2 linked regions of the Drosophila melanogaster genome follow. The protein of the gene in region 1 interacts with the protein of each later gene in a biochemical or structural test. Each region holds a gene or a part of one and is shown in the gene's direction. Other genes may lie near its edges.

Evidence for each region. Proteins that work in one complex are often made in the same cells at the same time.
Region 2: the proteins of Pu (region 1) and ple interact in far-western blotting, tested with the Drosophila melanogaster proteins (one study listed by BioGRID).

What each region holds. Positions count from the first base shown.
Region 1 is NT_033778.4:21,177,419-21,183,140, forward strand, and holds Pu (punch), read left to right. Parts: upstream 1-1,699; 5' UTR 1,700-1,874; coding exon 1,875-2,226; intron 2,227-2,519; coding exon 2,520-2,729; intron 2,730-3,865; exon of another isoform or gene 3,866-3,937; intron 3,938-4,001; coding exon 4,002-4,167; intron 4,168-4,226; coding exon 4,227-4,343; intron 4,344-4,417; coding exon 4,418-4,547; 3' UTR 4,548-5,190; downstream 5,191-5,722. Other genes in the region: CG4286 (uncharacterized protein), read right to left, coding at 398-715, 778-1,119. UniProt on the Drosophila melanogaster protein: Isoform B is required for eye pigment production, Isoform C may be required for normal embryonic development and segment pattern formation.
Region 2 is NT_037436.4:6,713,502-6,721,453, reverse strand, and holds the start of ple (pale), read left to right. Parts: upstream 1-1,928; 5' UTR 1,929-2,380; coding exon 2,381-2,449; intron 2,450-3,438; coding exon 3,439-3,550; intron 3,551-3,781; coding exon 3,782-3,901; intron 3,902-4,027; coding exon 4,028-4,120; intron 4,121-4,504; coding exon 4,505-5,324; intron 5,325-5,619; coding exon 5,620-5,746; intron 5,747-6,085; coding exon 6,086-6,484; 3' UTR 6,485-7,952. UniProt on the Drosophila melanogaster protein: Plays an important role in the physiology of adrenergic neurons.

The sequences.
Region 1 (5,722 bases):
GTGCTATTCCCAACTGATTTATTCGACCCTAAGCAGCGGTGGAAGGTTTTAATGTGCTTTACATTCCTTGTGGTTTGTACTTTTTTACAAACCCACCAAAATCTATTTCTCAGGACATATATATGTATATACATATATAAAGAATAACCTTCAACTCCATGCCATAAACAAGAAAAGTGCTCGCGATAAACCACGAATACTTTGCATGCAAATAAGATTCCGAATATATGCAGAGAATAATCAAATTTGGCCAGCTGGAGAGACTAGCTACTTTCAATTGAAGCCCCACATGTGGGATGCAGGGTTTCCCGCACAAAATGAGGACACTTCTAAGTGGGGTTAATGCTTTATTGATCGGCGTTATGTGCCAAAAAGCTGCACCCATCCAACCATTCCCTCACATAATGGTCTCCTCCTCCAGCATGTACTCCGTGAGATCGGCTTCGCCCGACAGCATGGTCACCGGCACCCGGTTCATCTGGGCCACCCGTTGACTGGGCCAGACCATCACGTCGCAACAGTTGGTCAACACGACCACATTGGTGCTCGGCGTGTTGGTGCACATCAGGTTGCCGGCCTTCTCCTGGTCGCACTTGTTGAACTTGCGCCGGAAACGGAACTTCACGGGCAACGAGTTGCCCATCACGCTCTCTTCATCGAAGTACGGCGGCAGGGATTTGTTGAAAGCCGGATTTGTGATGGCCGGCTTGGTTAGCTGATAGATGAGTGGAGTAACATCTAAATCACTGAAGCACATTGAATGTACAGATCACTCACCTCTTCGAGAACCACGGAGGTCTTGAGTCGGCGACAGGGATCACAGTAGTCGGAGGCCAATGTGTTCTCCGGTGTCTTGGTAGCACATGGATCCGGCTTGGGTTCGGGCACATTGGATCCCAAACCACTACCATGTGGCCCACTGTCACTGTCACGTTTACCCTTCGGATTCATGGGATCCTGGCCGCGCAATACGCATTCCTGCAGGAACTCTTCCTCGATGTCGATCAGTTTCTTGATGGCACAGTCCCGCTTCAGGAAGTTCTTGATCACGGACAGATTGCGGGGCACGGCGCCGATAACGTCGAAGTCATCGCTACGGAGCTGGAGGCGGTGCGCCATGACTTTGGTTCTCCAAGATGAATGGAGGGGCGGATGGTTGGAAGGGGGTTCGAATTTGGGGGAGTAGCTCGTTTCGAGTGGAATGTTTAAATGAACTACAACTTGACGTCTGGCCCCAAGTTGAGTGGGTTTCAAGGATATGCAAACAATAGTTGAGATTAAGTTGGCGCCAAGGATAAAGTGCACGTTTGAGGGCAAAAGCTTGGTACACTCTATTTAATAATATATATTAAGGGTAAACGCTACACTTATCCCAATAAGGTAGCTTTACTTTCCTAACAAGTAAATTGACCTACCACCCAAAGCTAGTTTTTAACATTTGATGGCACTATTTTCGTGGCTAGTGCTGTAGTTCTATCGCCTCCTGGCCGAGCAACAAGTTCGTGCGCGGTTTTACAGCCACTGGATGCCAAACCGTGGGCCTGCGCTCAGCTCGGTTTAGTTCCGCTCACTTAATCTCCGGCAAGCGAAACTCGGAGCAGAGCTTGCCCGTTGGATGGTCTGTTGGCTATTGATTGGAGCTTTCCGCCGCTCAAAGCTCCGCTCGAGAGGTTCTTATTGCCACCGCTGGCCACAGCAGCCACCAGAAGAGCAGAGCCACCCGAAGCGCCAACACGCGAAGACAAAGTCCGGCAGACAGCAGCGCAAAAAGAGACAGATAGCAGTGAGAAAATCATCGAGGAAAAAAGATTGTGTGCTAGCCGTCAAATTGAGTTCCATTCGAGTGGCAAACAAACCTGAGTAGCCGCACCGCCATGAGCTTTACCCGCCAACTGTCCGAGATGAGTGCCAGCGAGCTGAACGATGCCATCGACGACACCAACTTCCCGCAGGCCCACATCCTTTCGCGCGGACGCAACAACAGCGTCTGCTCAACAAGTAGCACCTCGGGCACCTCCTCGCTGGCGGACAGGCAGCAGAACCAGGCGGAGGAGGCCACTGCCATTGCGGGCACACCCGTCGAGGAGGTGGCGCCAGCTCCTGCTCTCGTCCCGTTGGCCGGCAACCAGAGACCCCGCCTCATCCTGAAGACCAACGGCAGCAGTCCGGATAGTGATGGTACACAACCGAAAACACCACTGACACCGCGTACATCGACAACGCCAGGTAGTGGTGGGTAGTGGTCCAGGACCAGGTCAGGGGATCCAGAGCTATGTTTGCTGCGACCGATTTAGTTAGTCAATGAACTAGGAGGAGGAGGAGTGCTTGACAAACTCTTTTTGAGCATAAACCGTACGCCTATCAGTGGGTTAGTGTTTCGGTTCAGAGGTCAGAAGATGCGCCTCGGAATGGGGAATAGTACTTAGACAGCCACACACAGCCAACGAAGGGGGGCAATGCCTTCCTATCTCGCATGATAACGATTCTCATCATGTTTCCATCCGTATTTCCATTTACAGGCCACGAGAAGTGCACGTTCCACCACGACCTGGAGCTGGACCACAAGCCGCCGACGCGAGAGGCCCTCCTTCCGGACATGGCACGCTCGTATCGTCTACTCTTGGGCGGCCTGGGCGAGAATCCCGATCGCCAGGGACTGATCAAGACGCCGGAGCGGGCAGCCAAGGCCATGCTGTACTTCACCAAGGGCTACGACCAGAGTCTCGAGGGTAAGCACACCACACATTTCAAGCAATTAGCACCGGGTCAGTGATCGAAGTTGCTCATCCTGGTTTTCCCAGCGAGTGGGAACTAGTTTCATGTCGGTGAATCACCATTTACGGGGGTTCCTCGGTCCGCTATGGTGCATTAGCCTAATTACCTGACCACTCGAGAGATAAAGCACATGAACATAGGGAGCCATTAGGCAATTTCGGGCTTGTCCAATCAAGTGGACGCATCCAAAATCCATTCAATATCCTATGAAATATGAGATTTGACTAGTAAAGTTTTTGGTCTCATGTTTGGCGTGCATTTCGACTTGCAGTCGCTTTTGAACTTGTCATGTAATCAATGTGAGTCGTTTGAGAAACAAAACAGAATTGCGAATTATATGGTTGCTACACCAGCATACCTAACCGGTTGCCCGAGAAATCAGGTTCTACGGTTTGTCAAATAAAATCGCATGTAAATTTAAGATCAACAGCAACAGCAGCAGGCCATTTGAAAGCTAAATTCGTTGAACGAAAGTGAATAGCCTTCGGCATCGGCAATAGAATGGGTTGGATTGTGTTTAACCCGAATTCAAAGAACCCAAGAAGCCGAGCCAACGTGACTTGCCAATCTGGTGTTGGGGGAACTCCACCCCCCTCCCCACCACACACACAAGATGCTTGTTGGATTGTTTGTTAGATGGCTCACTGGCTACTTGGCTACTTCTTGGCTTCTTCGCTGGTTGGTCAGGAAACGCACTGAAGCTTTCCGGTCTGTATATTAAGAGCGGTAAAGTGGGTGGGTGTGCGGTGCGGCGGCGGCTTCTATTCAAGGAATGGGAATCTCAAGAGCACATCGTTTAAAACGAGTGTGGCGAAAGCTCACACTCCACAAGAACCATAAGCCCATCCAGTCAAGTCAAGTCAAGTCAACCTCCCCCCAAGACCCGCAACCTCACACACGCACACACACACACAAACACTCGCTAAGCAACCACTTTAGCACTCACAGTCGCTTGAACTTAACATTCAGTATTCAGTTATGCAGCAAATAAATCTAACACGAATTACGCGCGCCATAAATCACGGGTAGCGAAGGAACGCCACTTGAGTAGCTTCGTGGTTGTGGGACATTGGGCGAACTTTTCAATAACGACTCCGTGGCGCAACGGTAGCGCGTCCGACTCCAGATCGGAAGGTTGCGTGTTCAAATCACGTCGGGGTCAGGCGATGATGAATTCCTTTTTCGTACTTTTTTTTTACTACACCATTTCAAATTTTTTTTAATAGATGTTCTCAATGGCGCCGTTTTCGACGAGGATCATGACGAAATGGTGGTGGTCAAGGATATTGAAATGTTCTCCATGTGCGAGCATCATCTGGTGCCCTTCTACGGCAAAGTTTCCATCGGTTATTTGCCGTGCAACAAGATTCTCGGACTCAGTAAATTGGCACGGTAAGATAAACTTAGTAATGCATATTAGATGATCTTTCATATAATTTGCGATCCCATAGCATTGTCGAAATATTTTCGCGTCGCCTGCAAGTCCAGGAGCGCTTAACTAAGCAGATCGCAGTGGCCGTGACTCAGGCCGTGCAACCCGCTGGAGTAGCAGTGGTCGTAGAGGGAGTGTAAGTATTAAATATATATACATATATATTTTAAAGAATATTATAGTTTAACGAATGGCTTTCCTCCTATACAGCCACATGTGCATGGTGATGCGTGGCGTGCAGAAGATCAACAGCAAAACTGTTACCTCAACTATGCTGGGCGTGTTCCGAGACGATCCCAAGACCCGTGAGGAATTCCTGAACTTAGTCAATAGCAAATAGAGTGGGCACTAGAGGACGCTACTGAAATCCGAGACCAACTAAACCCCTACAATATTTTTGGAGGCGCTTATATACAAACAAACAAAAATGAAACGAAACACAGGGTCCATTAGTTTATGTTTTTAGGATTGATTTCATTTAGTTAGTGCAATGATTGCGCAGCCATTTTCCTTGTTGATTTGTGTAAAAATTGTTGAAAAATTTTGTTAGCAAAATACGTTTTTTAGATAGATGAATGTAATGAGAAGCGAGATTCGAAGAGGACGAGATTTGAATACCGGTGTTGGGTAGTTTTATGTTCAATTTTATATGCAGTTTTATGGCACTTGAACGATAATTTTTACAACGTATACATACGATTAATGCATTGTGCAATAAGGGAACAACTGATAATAAATCACGGCAAATTGTTTAGGGAATTTACAATTTATAAACAGTTCACATCAAATTAATCAGATCTATAGTTATGTATGTATGTTAACCTATATAAAGAGTTGCATTCATAATGTTCCTCGACAGGGACCAAAGTATATTGGAAGATTTTAAATGTTAAAATTATATGCTCATTATGTAAATGACGTTGCTTGTAGTGAGTCAAAGCTGCTTATTAATTATACAATAAATTATGTATTTAAATAACGTTAAAATGAAGGATTTTTTATAAAATGTATAAAAAAAGAAATATCCCAAAAACAACAGGAGCTTTCTCGAATGACCCCGACGTGATTTGAACACGCAACCTTCCGATCTGGAGTCGGACGCGCTACCGTTGCGCCACGGAGTCTACTGAAATGGAGGCTACTAAGTGACAGGAATCCCCCAACACCAACAGGTTGTTGGTTCCAGTCGTGTAGTATCCATCATAGTGCTTTGTTTGAAATGCAGCAAGAGCATCGGTGGTTCAGTGGTAGAATGCTCGCCTGCCACGCGGGCGGCCCGGGTTCGATTCCCGGCCGATGCATAATTTTTTTTTAAATTTATTTCGTATATAACGAATCAAAAAAAAAAAAAAAAAACAGTGTAAAATATGATTCAAAGAAATAAATATAAATATTTTTTATTCAACTTCTTAGTTTGATAAATATATAATCTATTACTTGCAAATCCTACTGTGTACCTTTCGTTTGGACCCAAAATTATTGGATAACAATTTCACAATAATTTAATAATGAAGT
Region 2 (7,952 bases), on another chromosome or scaffold:
TATATATGCTGGCTTTAATCTGTAGGCACTTAAACTATAACAACATTTAGCTGAAATTATTATTTGATTGGCTTCCTAAAATATTGCTCGAAAATCGGAAGTAAATGTTTAGCCGAATGTGAATGTGGTATTAAGGCTAATGTGGGAACTTTTTTTGCCAGTGACTAATGGGTAATATAGTACGCAGTTTACTGCTAGTTGGATAGTATTATATTTTTTAAATAATTTAAGTTATTTCCAGTAAGTGCTATTTATTAATTATTACCCTCGATATTCTAAGTAAAAAGCTTTTCGATGTTGTCAAATGTATTTCCTAGCTCCCACAAACTTATTAACTCACCAATCCCACTCTATCGATCCAATTTGTATAATGGATCTATCAGATCGATAATTATGTTTTTGCTACTCCAGATGCCTTAATAACTTAATGCGGATCGAAGCAAATAGACGTATATGTGATGTGTTAGCTCATTATCGGGCTCGTTAGCTCAATCAAACGATTCGATCTACTAATTTGAACGGTCCGCATTAACATCGGCATTAGTTAGTTAGTTAGTTGCTAGATGCAGGCTGCAAGGATGACCGGATTGTTGGCAAGTACAAGTGCACATATGTAGATCAATGGCAAATTTGCTTCGATCTCGACATCGCCGCTAACTGAATTTGGTTAAAAGCTAACACGATTGAAAATAATGCTGCCACTGCCACTGCCACTGAAAATGTCATTCGAATTGGCGGCCCGAGTCCAATTTGAGAAGCGGCGGCAGCCTTGCCAACGTTATCAGCTTACAGGACAGGAATATATATATAATTATTTATATAGATTGCTATATGGTCGGTCTCGTAATCCGTCAGCTGCCATATGCAAATCCCAATCGCCAGATGTTTTGACGGGGCTTTCAATTATGCCATAGATATTGTAATGTGCCTGTACTTATCGCCCGGGCTTAGTTTAATGTGCTACATTTACGCATGCAAATTAGTTGTTAAATGTGCTTTTAAAATTTAATCGATATGGCTGGGTGCCACCTACTTACATCTCGGGCACGCACGCAGCCATGTGATCCGTACTTCCTGTTTACCATTACTTTGTTTTCCAGCTCACTTTCACTTGGTCCCTATACGATCCGCTTCAGCATCCGCTCTAGTTCTGACGCGATTCGATTGAGTCATTCAGGATCTAATGCGAATTGCTGGGTTCTAAAACTGAACGAGATCTTCGACTGTTGTTACACCTAGAAAAATGGAACGTATCATAAACGTAAGGTGCTTTTATTGTCTAAAACATTCTTAATAATTTTAACCTACTTCTTTAAAATAATTCTAGTGGTTAAAAACATTTCCCTAAAACAACTTACAGAGTAAGAATGTCATATATTTTCATTATTTTGCTCTGTGCACACACGGCGTATGCTTAACATTTGGCATGGACTAGCTTCGCTTTGTTTGGATTTGTTTTGGTTTTTTCTGTATGACCTGTTGAGGCTTTTCAAATGACTCCCGTTCGACTGACTGAATACTTTTGGGGTATTCTACCACCATTCCGATTGACGCGCACGCGCTAATGGTTAACCCCGCTTTTTAGCCAAGCTACAAGAGCAACAAAAACATGGCCAATGCGACGTTCTAGCCTGTTGCCGCACTTGAACTTGGTCGACCAAGTTGAGTCGAGTCAGGCCCCGCGATTCTCGACCCACTCAGCTGGCTGGCTAGCTGGTTAGCTGGCTGGTGAGAGGAAACCCCACGGCATCGGCATCTTGGCTTTAACCCAGCTACAGCTGGGCAACTACGTCACAGTCGCGTCATGCGAAAACCAGTCATCGTCGTTTGGTGAAGCAAACAATCGTCGGCAATCGGCCGAAACGTTCGTTAACTTGGCCGTCGGAATCGGAATCTGGGGGTATTTAAGCGGCGGCAACTCGACATGAAGCATGCATTGATTCGCTATCATTCGCCCTAAAGACTTGTGCCCAGCCTCAAGTAGTTTGCTGACTCTGTTTGTTGTAATACAATTTAGCTGACAAGGATAATACACATCACCACATCAGTTTCGAGTTCGCGAAAGGATCCAGCTAAAGTTCAACCGATCAACCATCTATATATCCCGCCGTGAATTCGAGAGTCGAGAGTTCTTGTCCAGCTCAATTCTAGACGCAAACAGTTCAGTACCAGGAGCGATTTTCTTGAAAAACAAAACCACCCAGCCAGATCGCCAATAAGCAGTGAAAGTGTCAACACATTTCGAGTGCTTATTGCAAATCAAACAAGAAAAGCGTAACCAAGCACATAAGCAAATAGTATTCTAAGTGTTTTTGCCAACACTTTGCGTAAATTTTTGTTGTTCACCCCAAACGAAAACAACCCAAACACACAAAAAAAAATGATGGCCGTTGCAGCAGCCCAAAAGAACCGCGAGATGTTCGCCATCAAGAAATCCTACAGTATTGAGGTGAGTCGAAAATCCAGCAAAACATACAATTTCCAAATCGAATTGTAAAAAAAAAGAAGCAAATGAGTGACTAGATTTGGTCTACGTGACTATCTAAAGGTTTTGTGTTTTCAAAAAAAAACCAGTTAACCGGCCAGTAGTCGAGCCCATTTTTGTGATCCCGCATTTCTTTTTCGCCAATTCAATTTGACCAAACTCAATCCTCGGTTGGCCATTAAGTCACACCTCTAAGAACAGGCGGCCCAAATCGAAAGGCCCAAATCGCCAACGGACACAACGGGTTGTGTGTTAAGTTATTATTTAACAAATAAGTGAAAGTGGCTGCCTTTGGGCCCCATGCACTTAGCCTGGCCGAAACAGTCGCGCCTCATTGTTGTTGACTCGTCTCTGTTTATGTTTATGCTGCGTCCGAGCAAAACAAAAAATATGAAATCAATATAAATGATTCAATGAGTTGGTCATCTTTCATCAGCCAAAGCGGTGGCCCAAAAAAAAAAACTGAAGAAAACAAACAAACAAAAAAAAAAAAAAACGAGCTGACAGTGAAAACTGCAAGTGATGGAAACCTTTTTCCCCCCATCAAGAAAAAGAAAGAAAAAAAACCTTTAACGATCGCCAGTTGCATTTTTTTCCCGCCAGAATCGCATGGGGATTTTCGATTTCTCAGTCACATATCATTTATCTTCGCACCTGCCCGCTTCGAAGCGGCGACATCGCATTAAATTACCATTCGTGGCTTTGAATCACAATCAATACAGTTCCATGAATAGCCAGCTTTATTCAAAGAAAAAGATCTGAAGACGGCGCTTTCACACACCATTTTATATAATATTTTCAAAATTGCGCAATACTCTGCTCAAAGTCACCACCCAAGCGTGGAGCCGAAGAAAGCCACCCTGGCTTGAAGGTCAAGGCAATCGTCTAATTTCCGCTCCACATCCTGCCAGTGTCACTAACACGGACTTCAATCTTTTCGCTTTCGTTTCCAGAATGGCTATCCATCCCGCCGTCGCAGCCTGGTGGATGATGCCCGTTTCGAGACCCTGGTGGTCAAGCAGACCAAACAAACCGTCCTCGAGGAGGCCCGCAGCAAGGCAAATGGTAAGTGGATAGGGTCCAACAAGTGGGTCACTAAAATAGCTCCAAAGAGGGTTTCTATTTGGGATCAAAAGGGAAATTTTGCAGCTAGGGCTTTACTTGTTGATTAAAAACTTAAAAAGTTGCAATTTTTATTTCATTTTATTCGTTTTGACATAGATTTGCGTTTTTTTCTTATTCATTTTAACCCTTTATTTATTATTTGCCTTCGTTTTTATTTTTATGATTTTAAAGACGATTCCCTGGAAGATTGCATTGTGCAGGCTCAGGAGCACATTCCCTCCGAGCAAGATGTGGAGCTCCAGGACGAGCATGCCAATCTGGAGAACCTGCCCTTGGAGGAATATGTTCCAGGTTAATATCCATTTCCATTTCAATTCCCATGCCAGTTACTCCTCTTTCTGAGCCTATTATCTTTGATTTGATTTTGATTATGATTTTCATGGGCTTTATTATTATTTTTATTTCATTCGCTTTTAGTTGAGGAGGATGTTGAGTTTGAGAGCGTTGAACAGGAGCAGTCGGAGTCGCAGTCGCAGGAGCCAGAAGGCAACCAACAGCCGACCAAGAACGGTGAGCAGGGGGTTCTAGAATCCAGCAGCCAACCATAAGTAGTACTTAACTTCTGAGAGGGGCTTTTGAAAAGCGTGCGACATTGATTTAAGTGCTTAATATGATAAAGTGCCAGGGCAGAGGAAAAGCACTCAGCCACACGGACAATTGTGAGTGGGCGCGCTCGCTCGCTCTCTCTCTCTCTCTCTCTCTCTCTGTGGAAATGTCGCATTTCCCTTTTTCATTTGTTACGCTCGACTTAATACAAGTACGAAATGCGTTTGCCTGGCAACCGTCTCACTGCCACTGCCACGTAGCTCGCTTATCGTTTACGTGACCCTAAGCCTTGGAAGATTGCATCCTTAACCATCACATTATCCCCGCTTTTTTTTGGCCCTTTTGCAGATTACGGTCTCACCGAGGACGAGATTTTGTTGGCCAATGCCGCCTCCGAATCCTCGGATGCCGAGGCTGCCATGCAGAGTGCCGCTTTGGTGGTCCGCCTCAAGGAGGGCATCTCCTCCTTGGGTCGCATCCTCAAGGCCATCGAAACCTTCCACGGCACCGTCCAGCATGTGGAGTCCCGTCAGTCGCGCGTGGAGGGCGTGGACCACGATGTCCTCATCAAGTTGGACATGACCCGTGGCAATCTGCTGCAGCTGATCCGCTCCCTCAGGCAGTCGGGCTCCTTCAGCAGCATGAATCTGATGGCCGACAATAACTTGAATGTCAAGGCTCCGTGGTTCCCCAAGCACGCCTCCGAATTGGATAACTGCAACCATCTGATGACCAAGTACGAGCCCGATTTGGACATGAACCACCCCGGATTCGCCGACAAGGTATACCGCCAGCGTCGCAAGGAAATTGCCGAGATCGCATTCGCCTACAAGTACGGAGACCCGATCCCATTCATCGACTACTCCGATGTGGAGGTCAAGACCTGGCGCTCGGTGTTCAAGACCGTTCAGGATCTGGCTCCCAAGCACGCCTGTGCCGAGTACCGGGCCGCCTTCCAGAAGCTCCAGGATGAGCAGATCTTCGTGGAGACCCGTCTGCCCCAGTTGCAGGAGATGTCCGACTTTCTGCGCAAGAACACCGGATTCTCTCTCCGTCCTGCCGCCGGTCTTTTGACTGCCCGGGACTTCCTTGCCTCCTTGGCCTTCCGCATCTTCCAGAGCACCCAGTATGTGCGCCACGTTAACTCACCATACCACACCCCCGAGCCGTAAGTATCTATCATCATATTTTACTAGGGGGTTAAAATCACTTCAAAAAGGGGAGAAAAAGGCTCTTTGTCCTAGCCTAATTGCATTTGCCTGCCTGCCTGCCGCCTGCCTCTGTGTGTGTGTGGGTGGTTGGGTTTCCTTTTCCGCTTTTCCCAAGCAACTTTTGTCGCCTGGAACACAGGCAAATTGGCTACAGGAACTGCGGCAGGCTGCCCAGCTCATTTAACCAGACTAATTGCCTTATGCCAGCACATTTTCCACACTTTTAACAAGCATTATTCTATGCCATTACAGCGACTCCATTCACGAGCTGCTGGGTCACATGCCCCTGCTGGCCGATCCCAGCTTCGCCCAGTTCTCGCAGGAGATTGGACTGGCCTCGCTGGGTGCCTCCGACGAAGAAATCGAGAAGCTGTCCACGGTGAGTTGATTTTCTAATTGAGTTGCAATGTAACGACCTTAGACTCAAGTGCAGCTATGACGCAGCTAGTTTTTTTTCGCAACCAAGATCATTGTTTAGTCACTGTCAAAGTCGAAGAGGAAAAGTGAACTTCAATGCCAGAATAATTTTTTTCTTTTTATTCATATAGTTTACAGATACAATTTAATGCATTTCAAAACACTTAATTGTGATTTTAAATAAGTTTTTAAGTTCAGAAAACCTTGATCTTATAAGTCATACAACTTCCTGCATTATCTGCCTTTGCTTTTATTTTCCTTCCTATTTACTCATTGGTTCCTTACCATTTCATTTCTACAGGTATACTGGTTCACTGTTGAGTTCGGTCTCTGCAAGGAACATGGTCAGATCAAGGCCTACGGTGCTGGACTCCTGAGCTCCTACGGTGAGCTGCTCCATGCCATCAGCGACAAGTGCGAGCACCGCGCCTTCGAGCCCGCATCCACCGCCGTGCAGCCCTACCAGGATCAGGAGTACCAGCCCATCTACTATGTGGCCGAGAGCTTCGAGGATGCCAAGGACAAGTTCCGTCGCTGGGTGAGCACCATGTCGCGTCCATTCGAGGTGCGTTTCAACCCGCACACCGAGCGCGTCGAGGTGCTGGACTCCGTCGACAAGCTGGAGACTCTGGTGCACCAGATGAACACGGAGATTTTGCATCTGACCAACGCCATCTCCAAGTTGCGACGCCCGTTCTAAGTGGATGGGGGGGAGATATATGTATGATATATAGAAGCACCCAAAAACATCGCCCAAAAAAACACCAGCCACCCCCACCACCCAAACATACACATACAGGTGCAACGGTCTCATTTATACAAATTAATTTTAAATTGACATACCGCACAATCCCTCGTACACGTAATCCTTAAACCAAAATTAAGGCATCGCGCATTATTTTTTATTTTTTGTTTATTGTTTTTTGTTTAATTTTTATTTAATTGTCATCGAAAAGTTGTAATTGTCGAATCGCGCACATGGTAAAAAACACAAAAATCAAGCATATTTATTTGTTGATCACCCGATACACCACCCAACCTGCATATTTATCACCGCAACTATTATTGGACCAAAAAATCTTTAGACGTTTAAGTGATGTGAAAACAAAGCCAAGCCAAGCCAAGCAAAGCAAAGCGAATTAAGTGAAGTGAAAAGCTGGGAAAGCAAAGTTCAGATACATCCGCACTTAGTAGGCAAAGTACCACACAAAAACCGATTGTATACTCAGACAAAAATTGTTTTTGTATTATTATTATCTTCATTTTGCCTCTCACAATATTTACCTAGACTATATAGACACGCGATATAGTATTCCCGGTATAGGAAGCTTCATTTAGAGAGAGTATTTCTAAACAAAAATGATATAGATACAACAATCGAGCAAGGAACAAATGGAAAACAAACAAAAAAAAAAACGGAAAAGATAAAAAATGAAATGGAAAACAAAACAGAATTTTCTTACATTGTACAATAACTGTAAACGACAATATTACTATTGTGTACTATTATTATTATTATCTATTATTATACTTATGACTATTACGTATTGTATTGTAGGTATGTAGAGTTTAAACATTATTATTTTATTTAAGTTTTGTGTATTAATAAAATTAAAAATGCAATTGAAAAATAATTACTCTTTGGTTTTTTCATTTGATTATCTTCTTTGGCAATTCGAAACTCTAAAGTCTGAATCTGTTTAGGGAACATTTTATGACATCAAAATGGAATATTTATTTAAAATTAATGAGTAGAATCGAGGAATATGATAAATATATTTATGGGTGAGAAGAAGTGAATCTCATGTGAACTAAAATCGAGCTATGTAGAAAATATTTCACAAATTTGATGAAATTATATAAAATAACGAAAAACCTTGGACCAATACATATGTATTATTATAAAGTAATTAAAATCAAAATATTTCAAAGTAAACAAAGTAAAACATTGGGATCAAGAATATTACATATTTATAGTTAACGTAGCATGGAATTTTATTGTTATTGTTCGATGTATTGTAGTTGCAATTGGATCGAAAGCCAACCAAGTGTTAACATTTCTGCAAGCAATTAGCCAAACTAATTACTAATTATATTCGCACATAAATCTATATATATAATCAACTTAAAGCGCAGTTGGTCCCCAAGCCAGGCTTCGTTGGTTCTGA